2 linked regions of the Rattus norvegicus genome follow. The protein of the gene in region 2 purifies or fractionates together with the protein of the main gene of each other region. This does not show direct contact. Links are inferred from orthologs where the notes say so. Each region holds a gene or a part of one and is shown on either strand. Other genes may lie near its edges. The genes, in order: Dcc and Casp9.

Evidence for each region.
Region 1: the proteins of Casp9 (region 2) and Dcc purify together in Homo sapiens (co-immunoprecipitation; 3 studies listed by BioGRID and IntAct, with this or other methods). This does not show direct contact. The link is inferred for Rattus norvegicus from reciprocal best matches to the Homo sapiens genes CASP9 and DCC.

Annotation. Positions count from the first base shown.
Region 1 is NC_086036.1:67,845,387-67,849,205, forward strand, and holds part of Dcc (netrin receptor DCC precursor), read right to left. Parts: intron 3,371-3,819; coding exon 3,050-3,370; intron 1-3,049. UniProt on the Homo sapiens protein: Receptor for netrin required for axon guidance. Mediates axon attraction of neuronal growth cones in the developing nervous system upon ligand binding. Its association with UNC5 proteins may trigger signaling for axon repulsion.
Region 2 is NC_086023.1:159,390,437-159,394,355, reverse strand, and holds the start of Casp9 (caspase-9), read right to left. Parts: upstream 2,283-3,919; 5' UTR 2,243-2,282; coding exon 2,111-2,242; intron 19-2,110; coding exon 1-18. UniProt on the Homo sapiens protein: Involved in the activation cascade of caspases responsible for apoptosis execution. Binding of caspase-9 to Apaf-1 leads to activation of the protease which then cleaves and activates effector caspases caspase-3 (CASP3) or caspase-7 (CASP7).

The sequences.
Region 1 (3,819 bases), on a different chromosome or scaffold from region 2:
ACAACAAAGCAAACACTTTGAGGGAGTCAAAGCAGAAGAGGGACAATGTATGACATGACGTTTACACTGTACCTGAGTATACGCAAGAGCTATGTTTTGTTTTTGCTTTTTGGTTTTTTGGTTTTGTTTTTATTTTTCTTACCCAGACAAAGCTGACTTTTACCTTTTAGTGGTAACTGGTTTATTGACTGCTAATGCTTTAAAAATAAGATCAGATCAGGACTATGGTCTTTATTGCAAGGAAGATATATGGCCCTTGTGAATTCTAGTGGTTTGGCAATCGTAACCCTAGCAGACATAACATTGATGTATTCTGTGTTGCTGAACAGCATGGCAAGTATTTAAAATGCTGTGAAGAGCCTTATTGCACCGAAATGATACAATCTAATATTAGACTGCACCTCAATGACTACATCCCTGAGCCTACACTTCCACAGAATACTAAAGTCAAAGCCACTTTATTTTAATATCTCACAGGGAAGGAATTGTTCCTCACTTCACGACTGAAACAGTGAAAACATAAAACTGAACCTGGGTTGCAGGAGACACACCTTGTAACATTCAGGGCATTTTCATTAGCAGGATAGAGAAAGTTGCTTTTTGTAAGGGCATCAAGATGACAGCCGGTTTCATTCCTACCATCAGAGGGGCTTTGGCCTTTGGAGAGTTGATAGGAAATATTCACGAGTCCAGAAATATACAAGCTGCCGAAAGTCCAGGTGCATGCATATCCCTATCCCCAGATATGAAACCTTTCCGGATTTCTCAGGACTGATCCCACCTGAGCCTCTTAATTAATGACAGTTATGATTAAATTCACATCCTCCCCATGAGTTATATACATCTATGAAATTCTACAAGCTCATCCTTCACCAGGTCCAGGAAACTTACACCTTGGTCTTCATGATCAGGCTATCTTCTCACCTGTCTCTTTAGGATAGTGGTTCTCAATCTTTGGGTCGTAACCCTTTCTGGGTGGACTGACTTTTTCACAGGTGTCTCAGATCATCTATCCCACAAATTATATATTTGCAATACAATTCATAACAGTAGCAATGTTACAGTTATTAATTTTGGCGATCACCAAAACATGAGGAACTGTGTTAAAGGTTACTGTGTTAAAGGTTTGCACCAGGAGGAAGGTTGAGAAGCACTGTCTTAGGTGTCATTACTAAACAAGGCAGTATTATCCTCCAGTATGATGGACAAAGTTTTGTCTGACTGCTGAAAGGTTTTCAAGAATATGGGACTTACAAATGTCTAACCCAGGTCATTCTGTGGCAAATCCGAATGACTAGCCATTATTCTGCTCATAGCCGATTAGCCAGCAGAACACATCAGCGGAGGGAAAATCTGAGGGAACTGGTTAGGGATGAGCCTATGTTAGTTTGCTATAGCAAAATATCATAAATTGAGTCACCTGCTTATGATAGGAATTCTTCCTCACAGTTTTAGAAGCTGCTCTTCCGAGATAAGAGAGTCAGCAGTATTTGGTTCCCTGATTGCTCCTTCCAGGGATCACCCCATTGACTTGCTATTCCCACAGGTCAGGAAGCATGTTTTAGCTCACTATATGCCCCCTTTTGGAGTCACTACCTATTCAAATGCCAGATCACAGTCACGTCATTATAGTCACTAATATAGATGAGATAAAGAAGTGATCAAGTCATTATAGGCACTAATAAGAACAATGATCTGATACCTCTCCACATGGATCTAGTACTTCCCAGGCGACCAGAAATGCTTAGAAAAACTGAAAAGTTGGGGCAGACACAGCAACAGTTTGGGTCTGAAGAACACCCTGCCCTGTTTACTTAATTTAGATATATATTTAAGGTTCATAGATGAAAGGTAAAGTGTGCACCTTATGCTTTGGCATTGAGCTGGACATGTCAATAAGGGAGCTACACTTGAAAGTACTAATGGGACATTTTTATTTCTCACTTGAGGTCTACATTACAGACTAAGACACTGATTAAAATAAAATGTACTGCTGTCAGGGCTTACAGCATTGATTTTATGAATGTTTAACACTACTGAGTCTGTAAAATAGAATTGATTAGGGTATATTTTTTTCTAAAATCTTACTAAAATATGTCCACCAGTTCATGTAAGCAGTGAGTCCATATGAGTCAGCTATGCTGTGAAAGCAGATTACATGTAGCTATGCACACTGCTGAGCTGCACCTGCCGGCTTTCCATGTTAATTGAAAAAGAAAAATTAGTTAAAAAAAAGAAGAAGACCTTGTGATACCAGTCCTTTAATCTTCATTTAGTTCACGTACAAATGGGCATTGTTGGTAGAAAACCTTATATGTGACATCATGGATGTTATTCAGAAAACTAAAAACAGATGCAGCACAAGAAGAATGTCACCAGGTTTGTTACCACCTATGGATGAAGTTAGTGAGACAAGCGGATGACTGTAACCTCATGCTTCCTGTAGGAGTAGCTACAGTGCCCATTTAGAATTATCCTTCATGGCCATCAGCAGACGTGAGATACATCAACAATGGAACTGCATCAACCCAAAGAAAGGAAGAATGCTGTTACTTTAGACAACTTGTTGAGCCTGGGACATATTATGTTAAGGAAAATAAGTTACAAAAAGAGAAATACTGCATATTTTTACTTACCCGTGGAATCTAAATTATTGAGCTCACAGAATGATAACCAGGAGAGGCTTCATGGATTAGAAGGGTGAGGTATGAATGGGGGCCGAGGGTTACAGCTGTACAGAGTATCAATTTGAAAAAATAAAACATATATATTCTAGACTGATGATTCAGCATAGTGACCATACTTATAATTGTAATGTGTTCCTTGCCATTGCTCAAAGAGTTATTTCAAATATTCTCACTACTCAAAAATGTATGCAAACTTAGCTTGATATAATTGTGAATGACCATATTTCAGCTTATAGATTGTAACTGTTGTAATTAAAAAAGTTAAGTTTCAAAATGCGCACTGCTTTTACAAGGATTATCTCTCATGCCTACTAAGGATCTAAGAGATAAAAGAAGTGGGAGAGAAGAAAATATCTACATACCTGCTACCATAACTTTTGCTGTCCGACTAATAATTGAGCCAGAGTCTCCTAAGGATGCCTCGCATTGGTAAAGTCCTTCATCCGGTTTATGGTGTCTGGAATGAAGTATGTTTTGTATCAACAGAGACCCATTAGGAAGTTGCTGCTTTCTGTCATCCATTCCCAAGGCCAGGATAAGGCCATCTTTCTTCCACTTGATGACTGGGACTCCGCGGTCAGACTCTGCAGAGCAGTTGAGCAGGACGTTTCCTCCCCGCATTGTGACAGCATCAGAAGGTTCAGACACAAAATGAAGTGACGTGAAAGGTTTAATTTGGAAACCTGGAAGGAGAGAGGAGAAGGGAGCTAAATTCATGCAGTCTGAGAAGTCGCAATTTCTACAACATTTCATCACAAGTCTTATTTTTCGAAAAGCAGTTTTGTTTTTTTTTTGTTTTGTTTTGTTTTTTCCTCTAATTATAGATAAATTTAAGAGCAGGGATTCTGTGTTAGACATAAGACAAATTCTTATGTGAACACCGATTAATGAAGCAATTAGCCACAAAAATATTACTAGGAAAGGTAACAATTCATAAGCTATAGATAAGAATATTATTACATCATTCATTACTTGAAAAATTTAGACAGCCGTAATTAGTATTTGCCACATAAAACTGGAAGATTTTAAGTCTGACCAGTCAATAGTGTGATAGCTAAGATATCATGGACTTGATTAAGCTCATTATCTGCATTTTAGTATAGTATTTATTAGTACACTGATTGATAAACCC
Region 2 (3,919 bases):
AGACCCAGAGCCTGCCCGCTGTTTGGATAGAAAACCAGACACTCATTATCCAGTGACATCTACAGTCACCCTACCTCCCGCTTCTCACCTAGCCTCTACCTTGTGAGTGCCGGGACTGCAGGTATGTACCACCACCCCTGGAACAAGTCTCTCCTTTCAAACAGTCTGCCATTCCCAATACTAGGTCCGACACTGCTCTGACCACACTTAGCTGGAGAAGGACAGAGGCTGCTGGTGCCTCCCCGCGCAGTTTGGCTTTTGATCCCCCTTAATATGCCTGTGGTAGATAGACAGAAACTAATCTAGCAGTGTACTGAGTTCATGTCCCTCTGCAGTCTTTGCTTGTCAATGACACCTACTGTGTGTTTGTCCAGCTCTGTGCTAAGTGCTAATTAGCCCTACTAAAAGTAGCAAAATGGTGGTCAGTAGTTTGGACGAGGTACTTCAAACTTTCTAAACTTGTTCCTAACATTAAAATAAGAGAATTAAATGTAGAATTCAAGATCTCCAACATCTCTGTTTTTGGAGGAAAAGAAGTTTCTGTTGGGGGGGGGGGACTTTCATATTTGTGTGGGGGAAGGAAAAGTTCTCAAGTAGCCAAGATTGGCCTTCAAGTTCCTTCATAGCTGAGGATGACCTTTGAACTTCTGCCTCTCCTGACTCCAGAGTCACCAGGCCTGGTTTTATAGGGCTAGGGGTTAGACTCAGGGATTCACGAATACTAGACATGCACTGTACCAAATAAACTGTATGTCTAGCTTCTTGCTTTGGTTTTGCTTTTAAACATTTACTATGTATGTATGTATGTAGGTAGGTAGGTAGGTATATGTGTGTGTATCTAGATGTATATGTGCCAACTGTGTGTGCCTGGTGCCCAAGGAGGCCAGAAGAGTGTGTCAGATCCCAGGGACTACAGTTATAGTTGTGAGCCACCATGTGGGTGCTGAAAACTGAAATCAAAGCTCTTAACAACTGAGGCAGCTCTCCAGCCCTTGGTTTTGGTTTCCAGAGACTCGATCTCAAACTCTGTATGTAGCCAAGGATCCCCTCCAACACCTGATCCTCCTGCCTCTACCTCCTGAGGGCTGGGATTCCAGAGGAACAAACCATTCCTTTCAAACAGCCTGCCACTGCCAACACTAGGTCGGACACTGCTCTGACCACACTTAGCTGGAGAAGGAAATACGACAGAGGCCGCTGGTGCCTCCCTGCACAGTTCGGCTTCTGATCCTCCTTAATATGCCTTCTGGAAGACTAGGGCTTTCCCTTCAAACCACTTTCCTTGGCCAGCATGGGCCCCTCCGAAAGTGTTCCTGAGACTACTTTTGTTATTATCTGGTAGTTAACCCCATGACTCTACACCACTTTCTTCTATTTTCCTTCACTAGACCAGACTAGGTTCCAATCCAGATGCTGGAGACAGCTTTCTAGACAGTTCCCCAGGGCCTGACACTCATATCCTCTCAAAAAGAAATATTCCCTTTTCAGACTTGCAGTGAGGCATCAACTGGAGCAAAGAAGCTCAAATGTATTTTTTTTAAAAATCAAATGTTTGATTGTATTCTTCGGTGGTACCTGTATCAATGTCCGTCTTTTCTGAAATCCTTTATAAAGCATGCACTTGGATAAAAGCCCAGCTAAAAAAAAAGACATGGGTCCTGGGGCTGTGGCCCCACAGAAGTGCTTCACCTTGGTTATCTCATTCATCCTAGAACAGGATGACACCGTTGCATTTCACAGCCCAGGAAACTGAGGCTCAAAGACGGCAAGTGACAAGTACAATGAGCCAGTATAAACCTAAAGTGGGTGTTTAGGACCCTTCTACAGAGAGGCTAAACTACTAACAAGGTGTGGGTTACAGTGGCATTAGCGAGCACTCCACAAAAGAGGTGCTTGGGTTCTTCTGAAGGATTAAAAGAGCTGGATTGTGGAAGGTTTTAAAAATGGAGTTCCCACACCATGGTTTCCCAGGGCCTGGGTTGCACACCGTGCAAAGCGGGAGAAAAGGGCGGGAGCTCCGTAGCGGTGGCTTCAGTGAACCTCTCTGCGACCTCCCAGTCCCTACCGGCGCCGTGGGAAAAGCGGCGGACACAAGGGAGCGGGGGAGCACCTGAATATCCTCGATCATGTCGCGCGTGAAGAGCTCACGACTCAGCAGAGCGTCCCACAGCTCCGCGACTTGCAGTTCGCGCACAAGGCGTACCCTGCATCGCCGCAGGAGTTGCCGGTCAGCCTCCTCCATGGCTAGCGGATTGCTGGACCCCTGGTTCCGTCCGCTTCCGGGCCTCGGGTCCCGCCCCGGCACCCACGCCCCGCCCCCACATAGCTCCTCTAGGGATCACGCTCCGACCAGTGGTCACCGCCCCAAGGCCGGTCCCTCAAGCTCACTCGGCTCCACCTCCGCAGCCACCTCAGCTCCGAAGGCCCCGTCACCGCTTCACCAGTCCTCCCACCTCTCTCACTCCCCCCACGTCCCCCCTTCCCCCCACCCCCACCCCCCGCGCTCTCAGGCCACGCCCCTTCGCCACGCCCCAAGATGTCCTTGCTTCGTTCCGCCTGCTGGCGCTGCACGCAAGCCCCGCCCCGTCACACGCCTCATATAAGACTCGCTCTTCCTTGCCTCATAGACCAGCACTCCGGCCCTATGGAGTTCCTTCGCTCCGCCCCGTGGCCCGCCCCCTTCTCTGCTTTTGCCTTTGTCCCCGCCTCCAGGACCCGCCCCCATCTTGCTATTCCAACTCTCTCCTAGTCCGGCACTCAGGCCTCACCCCACCTCTTTCCCTGCAGCGCTCTCTCCTCACGCCCCTCCCTCGCCCAGCTCTCGCCCGCCTCTAACAGCGGCCAAACGTAACGTTGCTCCGCCCCCCATGCGACCCACGTGACTTTCCATGCGGCCTTCTCCTCCCACACTCTCCCCCAGGGCGCCCCTAGGGTTCCAAACCCCAGGTTTGCCTTGCTACCTTCCGCCCATTTGCTGGTTCCGCTTAGCAGCGATTGTTCTAACAAAGTTCACTGGTGACCCTATTTCTACAGATGCTCAAAGGGTCGCGAGAGGAAAAGGAAGAAACCATGTCTAGACGTCTTTCAAGTCCTTTGCGGGCTGTGGCTTTCTTCTAACGCCCTCCTCCGTTGCGGCTAGTAAAACCTCGCCTCCTGCTTTTTCAGGCTATCCTGCCTCAGCAAACTAAGCCCACAGACTTCCATCTCGCTCTCTTCTCTTTCCCTCCTCAGCACCTCCCACATAGAAACTGCCAGGAATCTAGTCCTCTGTTCTCTCAGTTTTGTACCACTCATTTCCACGACTTAAAAAGTAACTGAACAAGGCTGGAGAGATGGTTCAGTGGTTAAGAGCACTGGCTGCTCTTCCAGAGGTCCTGAATTCATATCCCAGCAACCACATGGTGGCTCACAGCCATCTATAATGGAAGGTGATTCCCTCTTTTGGTGTGCATGAAGATTCCTATATACATTAAGTAAATAAATCATTTTTAAAAAATAATTGAGCATCGTGCTAGCCACTTACGGTGTTGTCCCAGCTAGCCATGTTATTATCCCTGACATATTCCCGATAATAGTTATTCCTTGCTGACAGCTGTGGACATGTGTTAGGGATCTCACAGCTTGACCCCCAACAGAGGCATCTGAGATTCAAACCCGAACTGGGATAGACCCTTAGCCAAGAATCCACCATGGAATATGTCAAAAGATGATATTACACTCGCTTCCCGATTTTAGCATCAGGCAACGCTTCTTTCCATTAGATAGGATGCACATTCGGATGAGCAGCTGAGGTGAATTTACAAACAGGAAGTCTGGGGAGAGCCCAAACAAGAAACTCGAAGGGGAGTAGTTGCCAAGTCAAGGAGATTCGCCATGTTGGCTAAAACTGGCTGGTTTGGGGATTGGGCAGTTATATCTC